Canis lupus familiaris: one gene and its partners. The protein of the gene in region 1 interacts with the protein of each later gene in a pairwise test. Links are inferred from orthologs where the notes say so. Each region holds a gene or a part of one and is shown in the gene's direction. Other genes may lie near its edges.

Evidence for each region.
Region 2: the proteins of EFHC2 (region 1) and PLOD3 interact in binary tests that used the Homo sapiens proteins (3 or more experiments, as listed by UniProt). The link is inferred for Canis lupus familiaris from reciprocal best matches to the Homo sapiens genes EFHC2 and PLOD3.
Region 3: the proteins of EFHC2 (region 1) and COPE interact in binary tests that used the Homo sapiens proteins (3 or more experiments, as listed by UniProt). The two-hybrid records come from large-scale screens. The link is inferred for Canis lupus familiaris from reciprocal best matches to the Homo sapiens genes EFHC2 and COPE.
Region 4: the proteins of EFHC2 (region 1) and NCDN interact in binary tests that used the Homo sapiens proteins (3 or more experiments, as listed by UniProt). The two-hybrid records come from large-scale screens. The link is inferred for Canis lupus familiaris from reciprocal best matches to the Homo sapiens genes EFHC2 and NCDN.
Region 5: the proteins of EFHC2 (region 1) and SPG21 interact in binary tests that used the Homo sapiens proteins (3 or more experiments, as listed by UniProt). The two-hybrid records come from large-scale screens. The link is inferred for Canis lupus familiaris from reciprocal best matches to the Homo sapiens genes EFHC2 and SPG21.

What each region holds. Positions count from the first base shown.
Region 1 is NC_049260.1:38,421,547-38,425,069, reverse strand, and holds part of EFHC2 (EF-hand domain-containing family member C2), read left to right. Parts: coding exon 1-154; intron 155-3,330; coding exon 3,331-3,461; intron 3,462-3,523. UniProt on the Homo sapiens protein: Microtubule inner protein (MIP) part of the dynein-decorated doublet microtubules (DMTs) in cilia axoneme, which is required for motile cilia beating.
Region 2 is NC_049227.1:8,584,561-8,587,057, forward strand, and holds the end of PLOD3 (multifunctional procollagen lysine hydroxylase and glycosyltransferase LH3), read left to right. Parts: intron 1-32; coding exon 33-137; intron 138-658; coding exon 659-805; intron 806-1,083; coding exon 1,084-1,209; intron 1,210-1,541; coding exon 1,542-1,697; 3' UTR 1,698-1,980; downstream 1,981-2,497. UniProt on the Homo sapiens protein: Multifunctional enzyme that catalyzes a series of essential post-translational modifications on Lys residues in procollagen. Plays a redundant role in catalyzing the formation of hydroxylysine residues in -Xaa-Lys-Gly- sequences in collagens.
Region 3 is NC_049241.1:44,618,519-44,622,006, forward strand, and holds the end of COPE (coatomer subunit epsilon), read left to right. Parts: exon of another isoform or gene 1-351; intron 352-576; exon of another isoform or gene 577-1,106; intron 1,107-1,405; coding exon 1,406-1,474; intron 1,475-2,564; coding exon 2,565-2,639; intron 2,640-2,726; exon of another isoform or gene 2,727-2,774; coding exon 2,775-2,822; 3' UTR 2,823-2,987; downstream 2,988-3,488. UniProt on the Homo sapiens protein: The coatomer is a cytosolic protein complex that binds to dilysine motifs and reversibly associates with Golgi non-clathrin-coated vesicles, which further mediate biosynthetic protein transport from the ER, via the Golgi up to the trans Golgi network.
Region 4 is NC_049236.1:6,647,693-6,650,843, reverse strand, and holds part of NCDN (neurochondrin), read left to right. Parts: coding exon 1-132; intron 133-910; coding exon 911-1,152; intron 1,153-1,734; coding exon 1,735-1,959; intron 1,960-2,310; coding exon 2,311-2,453; intron 2,454-3,151. UniProt on the Homo sapiens protein: Probably involved in signal transduction in the nervous system, via increasing cell surface localization of GRM5/mGluR5 and positively regulating its signaling. Required for the spatial learning process.
Region 5 is NC_049251.1:29,781,778-29,784,002, reverse strand, and holds part of SPG21 (maspardin), read left to right. Parts: intron 1-1,659; coding exon 1,660-1,800; intron 1,801-2,225. UniProt on the Homo sapiens protein: May play a role as a negative regulatory factor in CD4-dependent T-cell activation.

The sequences.
Region 1 (3,523 bases):
GCCTGGACAAGAGGTCTTTAAAAGTGAACTATCTGAATATATCAAGGCCGAGGAGTTGTATATTGGGGCCACAGTGAACGTGAATGGCTACCTGTTTCTTTTGCTCAACGCCGACGAGTATACCTTAAACTATATGGAGACGAATTCTGACATGGTGAGCTGTGTAATTCTCGACTTGCCCCTTAGTGCCTGCAGTCTGTGTTTTTCTTTCTCCAGGCCTTTTTGTCTTCATCCTGCCACCAGTTTTACATTGTGCACTCACACATGTGGCCATGAATAATGGATCTGCGCGAATAATGGATCTGGCCCCAGGTCCCGGTCTACTGTTTACCCGCAGGGTCCTCGGGGCACTGCCCAGCAGCACAGGGGTGCCAGGCACAGGCAGGAGGCAGAGCCCAGGGTTGAATCAAGTTTCCTGGTTTTTTTGCTGACGCTGACAGTGCTTTCATAAAGAAATTCAGCAGCTATAGGAAAGGAAGAAAATCTGGTGCCACACACTGTGCTGTCCCTGTTAATTGGCACAGGCCTACACGGAAGACCAAGCGCTAAACAAACAGAAACCCCAAGGGAACCTGAGAATTGCTGGGCTTGCAGCTTTCCATAACAGGAGCTACCTGAGGCCCGAATAAGAGTTCAAGGACAAATTGGCAGCAGTGAGCTCAGAGAATTTTTTTTTGTTTGAAACAATATGGCAGATGGGTACTGTTCCTAAAAGCACTAGTATGGTGTTGCTGTTCTGTCAAACTAATGTTTCGATAAAATCTTGAGTTTTTTAAGTGTGGACCGGTTTGGTGTGCAAACATGTACATTTGAGAGATATTGCCTAATAGTGAAAAATCCACCTAGAAACAATTATTTTTTTTAAAGATTTTATTTATTCATGAGAGAGACAGAGAGCGAGGCAGAGACATAGGCAGAGGGAGAAGCAGGCTCCCTATCAACCGCTGAGCCACCCAGGCATCCCTAGAAATGATTTATTTTAAAAGTCTGCCTCTAAGTAATAATATTTATGTGCCAATTATATCTATACTTCTATATCTATATATCTATATCTATACACAGTACCAGTTCTGTTTCATTTTTATATAAAATGCTCAAGGGTAAGTTGCTAAGATCAGTCTCTCTGTGTTTATCATATCATCCTGTCTGGGTCCTCTGAGCAGCAGGTACCAAGGCTGAGTTAAATAAACAAGGGATGTCCTGGGAGAAATGCATATGAAGGATCAAAGAGGAGGGAGCAAGAGTAGGTGGGGAGCCTGAGATGTAGGTCTGACTCCTGAGAAAAGAGAGGGAAGGAAGGAGAGGTGGGTGCAGGAAAGGCCTCAGGACAAGGAAGGAGAGGTGGGTGCAGGAAAGGCCTCAAGACACGGTGCAGCTCTGAGAAAGTGTCAGTCAGGCCGATGGGGAGGTGGAGCCTGGGAGCAAAGGCTGCTCACGGAAGTGCCGGAAGTGCCATGTCAGGCTAGAATGGCTCAGCTCTGGTGCCCCTGTTGCACTGTCGTTGGGAGGAGAACAGCCTGGGCAGAGTATGGCCGAAGGTATGGCAGGTGGGGGCCATCAGCTCTTCTCTGCAGCCTCTCTGGATAGTAGGCCCAGACAGCACCTTCCAGCGCCGCTGCACCGATTGTCCTTTCGCAGGGTTAGGACTTGGGCTTGTCGTAAAACCGTGAACTGGTAGCCCTTCAAAAGCACTGAATTCAGTCAAGAGGTTCAATAATAGGGCAGTTAGATTGCTGGAGACCAGCAGGCTCGGCTGGGAAACGTGGCTCCACGCTTCCTGGCTGAGAGGCTTGAGACCCATATTTTCCCTGAGCTCCACTTTGCTCATCTCTACACAGCTGACCCGTTTCAGAGAATTAACTACGAAGAGGAGATGCAGTAATGTGTGTGAAGCACTTAGCTCTGGGGGGCCCATAGCAAGCTTAGGGTACAATTTGCAATAGCTATTGTGAATTAGGACTCGATTTTCAAACACAGGGTGAACCTATGTGTTAACATCCGTGTGTGTGTGTGTGTGTGTATATGCATATACGTACTATATATGTATATATGTATTGTAGGTGTGTATTATATATGTATATATGTGTTATGTATATACATGCAAATGTTAACATACTATATATGTTCTCGTATAGTTTATATAAATAGTGTGTGTATATGTATATATATATGTGTCTATTTGATATGAAGGGCTTTTCTCCTTTCAGAAAGATAAAAGCAGGGTAGGACATTATCTGGTATTAGCATCTCAAGTGAAAACTGCATTATTTTAAAACTACCCTTAACAAGGGCTTTCTAAGCAGAAAAAGATTAATACACTCTTTTTTTTTTGTTTTTTTTTAAGAGATAGAGGCACAGAGGTAGAGTGAGATAGAGAATATTAAGCAGGCTCCAAGCCATAAACTGAGCACGGAGCCTGATGTCGGGCTCGATCTCACAACCTTGAGATCATGACCTGATCTGAAATCAAGAGTCAGCCTCTCAACCAATTGAGCCCCCCAGGGACCCCAAGATTAATATACTCTTTAATATCTTTGCAAAAGAGCTAATAGATCCAATCACGGAAATAGATGAAAGGCAATGCGGAACGGTGGGGCGGATGGGGGTCTGTGATAGGTCTCAAACCCCCTGGTGGAAGAGAGACCTTTATACTAAATTAACATCAATGTTTTTAATCTTTCATGTGTAATCTTCTCTCTCTCTCTCTCTCTCTCTCTCTCTCTCTCTCTCTCTCTCTCTTTAAGCTCTTAGCTGTAATTATTTACAAGCTTATACTTTACTGGATTGAGTAAGCAGTATTTTTACAGAGTCTAAAACCTAATCACATGGTAGGAGACAGGAACTGGGGGCTGCCAGAGAGTGAAGGTCGGGGATTCCAGTGCATATGGATCTCTTGACACCCAGCTGTGCTCTGTTCAGTGCATCATCTGATGGCCAATAGTCCCCAGGGGGGCCCACTCTTGAGATCGGGAGAAAATGAGGGTCCACTTATCCAATTGTGAATCCCCATCCTCTCCATTAGGGTCTCCCAACATAGTCCAAGGGTTCAGGTGAGAAGGCTGAGGGATTGTTTTCTGATTCCTGCAGTTTACTGTCCCTTAAGCTCATTTTTCTCAGATCTGGGCCTATGCTGATGTTGCTCTTTGTCCTAAACTGCAACTGAAGAGATTTAATTCTAGTGGTATTTCCTCTGCGTTGGTCTCTATGGACAGCCATGCCCAGCTGTGCTCAGGTTCAGAGTGTGAAGTCTCTTTGCTGGCCATCAGAAAGATTGGGCTCCCTATGTCTCAGGCATGTTTTAATATCCTTCCTTTCCTTTCCCCCTTCTAGTTTCCCATGAGCAGCATTGAACTTATCTTACAAAAGCTGAAAGAAGAAGAATCAAAATCCAGAGAGATCAAGCAGGTATTTACAGCCGCTGACTGCAAGCACACAAAGATGGTGGATTATAATACATTCAGGTAAGCCAGATGCTGCCAGCAATACTCTGTTTTCCCTTCAAGATTGTCTAAAGAGCAAAGAA
Region 2 (2,497 bases), on another chromosome or scaffold:
CCCCGCCCTGTTCTTGCCCTGTCTGTCCTCAGCCGTGCCCAGATGTGTACTGGTTCCCCCTGCTGTCCGACCAGATGTGTGACGAACTGGTGGAGGAAATGGAGCACTATGGCCAGTGGTCAGGAGGCCGGCATGAGGTGAGAGGGGCTGGGGCAGGGAGGACTCCCCACCCCCTGGGGCAGGGAAGGTGCAGCTGTGATGAAGGGAAATGGAATCATGAGAGTCGGAGCAGGGTGGGGCCCCCAGAGTGCTGGGGACCCAGGGGGGGCACAACTGCATGCATGCATTCATTCAGAAACTCCTTACCAGGCAGGCAGGTCTGCGACACCCACCACTGAACTGGGCGCTCTGGTGTAGAGCACTTGCTTGAGCCCTGCCCTCCTGCACCTCACCTGCTATAGGCAATAGCAGGAGCCCTGCTCCTGAAGGTTGTGATGGGCAGCCCAGATGCTGTAGGAGTCACAGGAGGGGCCCTTGGCCTGGACGTGGGGGGTGACCAAGGGGCTTCCCAGAAGAGGTACCATCTTCAGGGTGAGTTAGAGGGAGTCAGGTAGAGTGGTCGAGGCTCCTAAATGCACGTCACACAAGCTTTCGGGCCTCAGAGCAGGGGGGAGCGGCTGGCATGGCCCTATTTGGGCTCAGTGCCCACTGCCCACAGGACTCAAGGCTGGCTGGAGGCTACGAGAATGTGCCCACTGTGGACATCCATATGAAGCAGGTGGGCTATGAAGACCAGTGGCTGCAGCTATTGAGGACGTACGTGGGCCCCATGACAGAGAGCCTGTTCCCAGGCTACCACACCAAGGTGAGCTGCCACCCCTGCCTCCTCCCACACCCCAGTTCTGGCTGGAAGTCTGCACATGGTGCTCCTTCAGCTCCTGTAGCATCTGGAGTCCTGAGGGAAGGGATACCACTGGATGGCAGCCCCCCGGGGAGTTCGCAGGATACCCCCAAGGGCCAAGATCCCTGCAGCCCTCCTCCCCTCCTCCCACTGGGTTGAGGCTTCACCTCCTCAGAAGCGCCCCCGCCCACCCTGTGACCTCACGGCCATCCCTCCCACCTCTTCTCTCGTGCCCCCCACAGACCCGGGCAGTGATGAACTTTGTGGTCCGTTACCGGCCAGATGAGCAGCCCTCTTTGCGGCCCCATCACGACTCATCCACCTTCACTCTCAACGTGGCCCTCAACCACAAGGGCCTGGATTATGAGGTGAGCCCCGAGTGCCCTCCCCCGTCAGGGCACCAGCAGGGCCTCTCCACACACGCACATACACACTTGAGCCCTGGGCCTCCTGACAACCCCTACACACCCTCAGGCACCTGTCCCTGGCCTGTCCTCTTCTTGGTTCCAGTTACTTCGCCTGCACCACCTCCCGGACCTCTTTCAGGCTGTGTGCCTTGCCACCACCCCCCCACCCCAGCCCACCCCAGTGCCTCTCTTGTATGCTGACACCCCAAGCCCCCCATCCAGCCTCTCACCCTCCTGTGCCCCCCGCCCCCCATCTACTGATTTGCCCACTTCCATTCCTCCGTTTCTTCCAGGGAGGTGGCTGTCGCTTCTTGCGCTATGACTGCATAGTCTCATCCCCACGGAAGGGCTGGGGGCTCCTGCACCCCGGCCGTCTCACCCACTACCACGAGGGGCTGCCCACTACTCGGGGCACTCGCTACATCATGGTGTCCTTTGTCGATCCCTGACACTCAACCACTCTGCCAAACCTTCGCTGCCGCTGTGCCTTCCTGCACCCCCCTCCTTGGAAGGGGGTCTGTCTGGCGCCTCCTTTCCTGAGCGGATGTTCAGTGTGCCTGGGACTGAATGTGTCGCCTCCCCACCCCAACACACGGCCCTCTCAGGAAGCTCCTGGAGCCCCCATGCCCCTCCCCATGGTCCCCAAAGGTTCCTGGGGAGAAGGCTTCTGGGGGCTCCCCATACAATAAATTATTGTTTCTCAGCCTCCCTCCCATAAAGGAGGATTTGTAACTCTTGAGTCTGTGTATGTCTTTCACCTCCCTACTGAGCCTGAATCCCTCCTGCCACCAGAGCGGAAGGAGTTACCCCACAGAAAAAGAACAGAGGGGAGAAGGCAGAAGCGGATGGTAGAGCAGTGTGGGAACCTGGAAGCTTCCCTGGGTCCCATTTCTGGAGGTAGGGGTAGCATGGGGAGCCTGAGAAGGGCCAGGCCCCAAGGACTTCACTTAGATTTAGGTGGAAGCCTACCCCCACTCTCCCGCCAGACCCAGCCTCTTCTCCCTGACTCTCTTGTCACTTGAGGGCATCTGTGGGATGTCAGAGCCCTGTGCGGGGCTCTGGGGCCAGTGCAAAGGGAAGGAAGGCCCCCTGGAAGCATGTGTTCTAAGGGGACACAGGAGGCTTCTAGGACTCCAGCTTTTGGTTAGGGAGGATCAGGAAAGCCCTAGAGAGTCATCCCAAGAAAGCTTCCTGGAAGAGGAGAATGTGAAGCAGCCTTGAAAAAGAGGCGAGACCTCCTGAGAGCTGA
Region 3 (3,488 bases), on another chromosome or scaffold:
TTGTCTTCCCCGGACCAACATGTGAGGTCTTGTGTGTTATTTTTATAATCAGAGGACATGTCAAAGTTTCTTTCCATCTTTGGAAAACATTTCTTGATACAATGAGAAACAGACACCAGTAGGAAGCTTTCTCCCTGTATCTCTGTGAGGGGTCGAGTTACCATCAGAAGTTTGTTTGCAGATCAGGGGCGGGCCAGGGCCATTAGTCAGGTGCTCCTCAGGCTGCTTACTTGGAGCTGCCTTGCCCTGCCAGGCAGCCACCATGCCTCCTTGACAGGGTCTGACTCAACTGGACTGCTGTATGCCTGCAGGGCTGGTCAGGAAAGCCTGGCCTGGTGGGGTGTCTCTGCCCTAGAAGGAGAGGGCAGTGGGGTCCCCAGTTAAATAACACCCATCTGTCCTCATTCTCTGAGACACCACCTGGGCTGGCTTGCTGCCCTGTGGCCCTGTCCCTGCCACGCCATGCCCCCCCCCCCCCCCCCCGGCAGCCTGAGGCATGCCGTGGCCTCATTCATCCTGGTGCCTGCGTGCCACCCCATGCTTTTCACTGTCCTTCCCATTCCTTTTTGTGTTCACCTCGTTTTGCTTCTGTGAGTACATGCCACTGTGCCCTATGACAACAGCTGAGGAGACTAAGGTGGAGAGAAGTTGAGTTTCCCCAGAGAAGGGCAGCCCTGGCATGGAGCTGGGTCTGGGCAGGAGGCTGGGGTCCATACAGCTCCTTGAACCTGCAACACCACGAGTCTGGGTTGCTGTTCTCTGCTCCAGGTGCCCAGTTAGGGCTCCCTGCAGTGTCCCTGCTTCAGAGCCCTGTGTGGGTGGGTAGAGTGAGGTCATCCGCTTGGATGTTCTGGTAATTTCCCAGCAGTTTCTTGTCAAGGCCCCTGGAGAGCAGGAGGGGCAGGCGGGGTCTGCCCTGTGGTCTCAGACCTCATTTTTGCAGCAAGAGGGACAGCTTGCCAGCGATGGTATTCAGGCCATCTTGGGTTGGGCTCTGTTACTTTGAGGTTGGTATAATAAATACACCCCTCCCAAATCACAGCAAGCAAGGGGGCTCTTTTGCATCCTGGTCCGCAGATGAGACACTGGGCTTAGAGGGGAAGCAGCTGTTGGGGAAAAGAAAGGTAGTCAGAAGGTGGGTTGGGGTTGGGGCTGGGCTGGGGCCCCCTCGTCACTTAGGTAGAAAGGAGGGTCCTGAGGTCACCACCTCGCAGAATGGCCAGTAGGCACGTTTTGGGTCTTGCAGCCCCCACCTGCTCCACCTCTGAGGGTATGACCTTGTATGGGTCATGTCTTCACCTTGGGTCAGTGGGAGGCATTTTCCCACCTGAGATGGGGATGGGCAGGCCAAGTCGGGGGCCTAGGGGAGCTGACCCTGCTCGCCTGGTGTTCCCTGTGTTTCCAGGACAGTGGCCACCCAGAGACACTGATCAACCTCATCGTCCTGTCACAGCACCTGGGCAAGCCACCCGAGGTAGGGTCCCCTGGTGCAGGGGAAGTGTTCTGGCCCTCAGGGTGCCAGCGTGTGGTGGGCAGGGGTCTGTGATACGGCTCCAGCCCCAGATGAAGCTCAGCATCTTGAGCGGAAACGCATTCCTTTTGGGGGCAGGGGTGGTGGTGGTGGTGAGTGCAGTTGCATTGGCGCGAGGGGCCCTGGGAAGTTGGTGTTGCAGGTGATCCTCTAGGGCCCCACCCTGGCCCAGGCTGTAGGCCAGCTGCTCCATGGGCCCTATGAACTATGAGCTGTGTCTCAGAGGGCCAGCTGAGCTGGGATCCCCATCTGTGCCATCTCTTGGTGGAGAGAAAAGGGGCCCAGGGGAGCAATCTCTGTGAGCCCATGTTGTCTAAGGGTGGGGAGGGAGGGAGAACTCTGGGGCACCGCTCTCTGTAGGTGACTGACTGGCACAGTTGGCCAAGGACCGACCCCAGGACTTCCTGACAGTCGGTCACCCATCCCTTATAGAAGCCCCCCCCCCCCCCCCCGGCAGCTTCAGGGCTGGGGCAGAACAGCATAGACAGGACAGCTGTCCCACTCACCCCAGAAATAGCACTGGACCCCTAGTCTCAGGGAGACAGGTGCCCCACCCCCTGAGTCTGAGCTGGGCCTGGGGAGGTGAGGGGAGCTGGGAGCAAGGGCTCTTCCTGGGGTCCAGGTTCTAATACTGAGATCTCTGGGGTTTCTCTGTATAGTGTGCCCAGAACAAATTCACCTCCCCTCCCAACTCTCTTCCCCCTGACCTGCCCTCTGCTCCTCCTAGTCCTAGTCCTCTCCTAAGGTCCCTCCCAGCCTACTCCCCTGAATCCGGTGATGCATCCTCCAACCGTGCACTAGCATGGGCTCTGTGCCAGGTGCCCCCTCTTCCCTCCCCAGCCCTGGGGGTCCTCTGTCATCAGCCTGATTTCACAGTGGGGTGATGGACGTGATGGGAGACCAGGGCCCTTGCTTGGGAGACCAGGGTCATCTGGGCAGCCCTCACTTCACCCCTCCTCTCGCTCTGCATGTGCAAGCCACCTGGGTGCCCCCTATTCAACTAACCTGGCCTCTGGCCTCATTTCCCTTGCAGGTGACAAACCGCTACCTGTCCCAGCTGAAGGACGCACACAGGTCCCACCCCTTTATCAAGGAGTACCAGGCCAAGGTGAGCCTGAGCTGGCGATCTGTCCCACATCCCCAGACCCCCCATAGGCGGGGCCAGGGAAGGCCTGTGACTGAGGTCTTGACTCACGTTCTCTGTTTCTCTTTCTGCTCCCACTGTCCCCAATCCACATTGCAGGAGAACGACTTTGACCGGCTGGTGCTGCAGTATGCTCCCAGCGCCTGAGGCCGGCTGCAGGCTGGTTCCCAAGCCCGGGAACAGCGAGGCTGGGCATGCTGCCCCCACTGCCAGGCACCCATCCTCTTGTGCTCTTGGTTGCTCTGGCTAGAGGTGAAGGCTCGAGGCTCAGCCTGACCAGGGCCCCTTCTGTCAATAAATATCTCCACCTGATCCATGTCTGCCACTCTGGGAGGGACATGTGTGAACCACGACTCAGAAGGGAGGGTCCCAGGCACTGTCCCCCAGGGCTTTTCCTGGGAGGGAAGCCTTGGAGACCAGGGCCTGTGAACAGGAGCTGCACAGACTCCCCACCCCGGAAACAGCTGCCCCATGATGCTGAGCTACGGCGGCACTGCTATGTCTCCCAAGTCCACTTGACATCCAGAGAAACTGAGATAGTGACAGCCATCATGAGGAGCATCAGGACTCAAAACCAGTATCCTGGGGTGGCAAGGGAGGTAGGAAGTACTCAGGCCTCTCAGTTGAGTCACATGTGTGCAAGGAACACATGCACCCCCACCCCACCCCATCCGACCATCCCCTGCTCCTGGTTGTTGTGGCCGAGGCACTCAGCTCTCTACCTGGAGAGAGGAACCCATGGTGAGTGCCCTTCCATAAGAGAAAGCCAGGGCAGTAGCTGGCATCTGTTGTCTGGAGAGAGGGTGGTACCCA
Region 4 (3,151 bases), on another chromosome or scaffold:
TATGCCCTCATGGAGCTGGGGATTCAGGAGTGCACCCGCTGCGAGCAGTCGCTGCTCAAGGAGCCCCAGAAGGTACAGCTCGTGAGCATCATGAAGGAGGCCATCGGGGCTGTCATCCACCACCTGCAGCAGGTGAGGGCATAGTGGCCACACAGGGAGCCTGGGGGTGGGGGCCGGAGGTGGGGTGGGCAGAGGGCCAGGCAGAGGGATGCGGTGTGACAGGGACAGGCCCAGATGCCCACTCGGGCCGATCCTGCAGCGCTCCCGGGAGTAGTGTGGCCGAGCCTCTCTCTCCCTCCCTCCCTGAGCCTCCACACAAGCACCATACCACACACCATATGTGCACTCGCATCACAGTACACACACACGCACACACACAACACGGTGGCTCCCACTCACAGCCCTCCCCCCGGTACACACGCACACGAGATGGAAGCAGCCTGCTTGGCTCCGCCTCCCGCCCCGAGTGCGGCACCTGCACATGCAACACACGCACCCCGGCACCGGAGCAGGGCCAGGGCTGCAGGGCCAGGCCTGCAGCTTCCTGGCCTCCGGGGAGGTCCCGCTAACTCCTCCAGGTCAGGGCCGCCAGGGGACCCATGAGGGACCTTCCAGCCTTGAGCTACTTCAGGGGGGACGGGGATGCGAGTGGAGTCGCAGCAAGTGTGGGGACATGTTGTCTGAAGCCCCCTTAGCTCAGCGGCGTGCCCCGAGGGCCTGCTCCGTGCCAGGCGCCTGTCGGGTGTGTGCTCACTGTGTGCCAGGTGCTGGGTGTGCAGGGCCGGCCTTCGAAGGGCTCAGGGGCTGGAATTCCCCTCTAGGTGTGGTGTTCCTAGGCTGGCTGGCATGCTGTCCCGGCCGGGGAGGGGGTCTGGTCCTGCTCCATCTCACGGGGGTCCCATGGCAACAGGTGGGGCCAGAGAAGCAGAAGGAGCCCTTTGTGTTTGCTTCGGTGCGGATCCTGGGGGCCTGGCTGGCCGAGGAGACCTCATCCCTGCGCAAGGAGGTCTGCCAGCTGCTGCCCTTCCTTGTGCGCTATGCCAAGACCCTCTACGAGGAGGCCGAGGAGGCGAATGACCTCTCCCAGCAGGTGGCCACCCTGGCCATCTCCCCCACCGCCCCAGGGCCCACCTGGCCAGGGGATGCTCTCCGGTGAGTTGGTAGTTAGAGTCTGTCCAGCCAGACTGTCCTAAAGAAAAGTGCAACAAGGGGACACCGCCTCACCCCTAGATTGTCCGTGCCAGGCTTCCCAACTGGGGCACGAGATTTCCTCTAGGATTATTTCTGGTTTCTTGGGTGGGGCTTGTTCACGCAGGACTCCTGGTCAGCCGAGTCTCCCCTGCCCACCTCCGAGTTGTCCGTAGAGAGAGAACTCGTGCTTTCCGAGCATTTACTACACACTAGGCATTCTGCTCTACCGTTGACAAAAAAAAAAAAAAAATCCCATTTGGTCCACACGGCAGATCTATGGCCTAAGGCTCATCCGCGCCTTCAGGATGAGCAAACCAAGACTCAGGGTTAAAGTAAGTGGGCCACGCGCACGCCACGTGGCGGAGCCCAGGTTCAAGCCCAGGCCCTTGAAGCACCACCGCGTGTGCTGTCTCTGTGGGGCCCACGAGGCCGGGTCCTTCACCCCCGCTGTCATTTCTCACAGGTGGGATGCCCCCCAAGAAAGGGAATCCTCGTGCCTTTGTCTCCGCACCCCTTACGCATGTGTTCCTTCCACACCCCCAGGCTCCTCCTGCCCGGCTGGTGCCACCTGACTGTCGAAGATGGGCCCCGGGAGATCCTGATCAAAGAGGGAGCCCCCTCACTTCTCTGCAAGTATTTCTTGCAGCAGTGGGAACTCACATCCCCGGGCCATGATACCTCAGTGCTGCCCGACAGCGTGGAGATCGGCCTGCAGACTTGCTGCCACATCTTCCTCAACCTTGTGGTCACCGCACCAGGGCTAATCAAGTGAGGCCGGGGAGGAGGTTGGAGGAAGCAAGGGGGGCTGCTCAGACTGTCTCACATCTGCATCTCAACGCTGCTTCCCTGCGCCCGTGCGTTCCCGTTAGTGTTAGAATGGATGGCTCTCAGAGCAGAGGCGCCCCGCACGAGGACCGGGCCTGGCCGGAGCCCCGCAGCTCCCACCGTAACCCAGGCTCCGCTCCCAGATGGCACCAGGGCCCACCGCTAGCTCCTAACCCTGCTGCCTCGTCTCTAATCCTGCCTGGTGAAACTGGGAGCCCAGGACCCCAGGTTCCCCCAGGCCTCGGTGTAAGGAACAACCCTCAAACAGTCCCCCTTCCCTCCCTGTCTCCCCAGGCGAGATGCCTGCTTCACGTCTCTAATGAACACCCTGATGACGTCACTGCCCGCACTAGTGCAGCAGAGTGGCAGGCTCCTGCTGGCTGCCAACGTGGCCACTCTGGGCCTGCTCATGGCCCGGCTCCTCAGCACCTCTCCAGGTAAGGCCTGGGGCCCCGGCCCTAAGGAGTAGGGGCCAAAGACCTGGCTGCACCTGTGGGCCTCCAGGCAGAAGTCCCTGTTTTCAGGGGATGTTTTTACAGAATTTTCCAAAGGAGAGGAAATCTCTCTGTGTCTCCGTCCCCCACTCTACCCCACCCTTCTTCCTCAAATGATGACATTCTCTTCCTTCTTGAAGACTTTTAAGGCAAGGTCTGGTGGGTGTAAGTACAGGCCTGCTCAGAGGCACAGGCATAGGCACCTGGAATCCCAGCAGCCCAAGGTGGAGCCGCCCCCACCCAGGCCTTGAGTCAGAAACCTTATTCCTCCCATTGAGGTTTTTCTCTGCTCAGCACCTCACCTCCCTGGTGACAGGCTTCAGCACTTTGCTGCTCCTCTGCACGCACCTTCTCCGCAAGCCTGCCTCACCCCGACTGTGTGCGGGGGGAGGGCCAGGCCCTCCAGCCCCTGCCAGCCCTCCCTGTCTCCCACTTCGGCCGTGGGTGTCTGCTTGGGTCCCTCTGTCCCCGCCTGTTCCCTGTGCCCCATCTGTCAGGTTGGAGGAGCTGAGCAGATGCCTGGGAACAGGGCGTAACGAGCCTGTCCCCTCAGCTGCCTCTCTGTTCCCCGCGCAGGGATCCCAGCAGAGTCTCCTGGCAGCGGGAAGGGAGCGAGGCAGTGGGCCAGGGTCAGCCCCATG
Region 5 (2,225 bases), on another chromosome or scaffold:
CCTGGGCCGAAGGTGGCGCTAAACCACTGAACCACCTGGCTGCCCCTGTCCATTCACCTGTTGATGAGCATTTGGGTTTTTCCACCTTTTGGCTCTTGTGAATCATGCTGCTCTGAATGTTGGTATACACATACCTGTTTGAGTACCTACTTTCACTTCTTTTGGGTCTATACCTAGAGGTGAAATTGCTGAGCCATATTGGTGATTCTGTGTTTAACTTTTTGAGAAACCGTCATATCATCTTCTACAGAGACTGTACCATTTTATATTCCCACAACAGTGCACAAGGTTTCAAGTCATCCCATATCCTCCCCAACACTTGTTATTTCCTGTTTTTGTTTTTGTTTTTGTTTTATAATGGCCATTCTGATGGATGCAAAGTGGTATTTCATTGTGGTTTTGGCTTTTTTTTTTAATCATATAATTATTTTGCCTCATAAGTGGATGTATTGCTAAAATCAAATAATATTTTTAAGAATTGATTTTTCAGGAAATTACAAGCATGTAAATTATAACTTCTAATTCTCCACTGTAATCTCTACATTCAAAATTTACTATGACACAGAACAAGCTTTTCGGTACTCTTGGTAAAATACTTGGTCCTCATGGTACATTTGCTCTGCTTGCCCATCTTTCAAAGCTGAGCTCACCACTTGGGTATGTGGTCACTGAAAACTGTATGTAAGCTTTAGCAAGTTGGAGATACTTTTTGAGTGTGTGTGCTTCATTTTAAATATTATTTTTTGAAAACTTGTTTGCATGTGTTTAAACATAAGTTTAGGGGCACCTGGGTGGCTCAGTTGGTTGAGTGTCTGCCTTTGGCTCAGGTCATGATCTCAGGGTCCTGGGATCCTGATCCCCCTCTCCCCCTGCTCATGCTATCTCTCTCTCTGTGTCTCTCAAATAAATAAAATCTTTAAGAACAAACAAACAAAAAACAGGTAAGTTTATGTGGGCATTAGAAGATGTCTAGAATCATATACTCCAAACAGCTAACAATGGCTCCCCCAGGAAAGGATCTGGACTTTTTCTTATACTCTTAAAAAAAATTTTTTTTTGGAATTTTTTTTCTGATCATATAGTACTTATGTAACTGTTTTTAAGTAATAATAAAATTTAAAAGGTTTTGGGGGGATCCCTGGGTGGCTCAGCGGTTTAGCACCTGCCTTCAGCCCAGGGTGTAATCCTGGAAACCCAGGATCGAGTCCCACATCGGGCTCCATGCATGGAGCCTGCTTCTCTCACTGCCTGTGTCTCTGCCTCTCTCTCTCTCTCTCTCTCTCTGTGTGTGTCTCATGAATAAATAAATAAAATCTTTAAATAAAATAAAAAGTTTGGGGGATTTCAGTGATCTTTTTGAAATGAATTGGCATTCACTATTGTTCTTTTAATTTAGTTAGTTAGCTATGTTTAAGGGGAAAAAATTCATGATAAGAATTTTCCCCCCAATGAATGCAAGAGGTGTTTGACAACAAAATCTGTAGCTTATGTTGGAGTTAGAAGTTACCAGAGATGAGCAAGTTACCCAGGCTGGCCAGGGGTTCAGCGGTATCTCTTCACTAGAAAGCCAGAAAGAGATGCTTTGGAAGGCACTTTCCACAATGTACAAAAAACCTACTAAAACACTGGTAGGTTACAGCTTTGTGTTTTTTTTAAAAGGTATTTGACCAGAGTGCACTTTCAACTGAAGCTAAAGAAGAAATGTATAAACTGTATCCTAATGCCCGGAGGGCTCATCTTAAAACAGGGGGCAACTTCCCATACCTGTGCAGAAGTGCGGAGGTGAATCTTTATGTGCAGGTAAGTCCCAGCTTGGGAGCCGGAACACTTTGAACCCAAAGTGTATGGTTTGAAACATAAAGCTTTTTTTTTTTTTTTTTTTTTTTTGGATGGTGGAATAAGAGACTACAGAATTCTCTGTAGCAATGAGTCATTCACTTGATAAAGGTGGTTTACATTAATAATTTATAGCAGAAGCCAAGCGGGTATATTAGAAACAGTTGAGTGACTCTGCCTACCATCTCTTTTCTAAGAACAGCAGGCCTGCATCCACACATACTGAAGTGGCCATGCCACATGATGTGACCTTGCCTCCTGGATACAGTGAATTCAATCAGAACAGGAACCTTCATTGAAGCAACTTCCTGATCCATTTTTAACACGTTAAAAAAAACACACGCAGGAGTGCCTGGCTGGCTCAGTCGGAAGAGCATGAGACTCTTGAT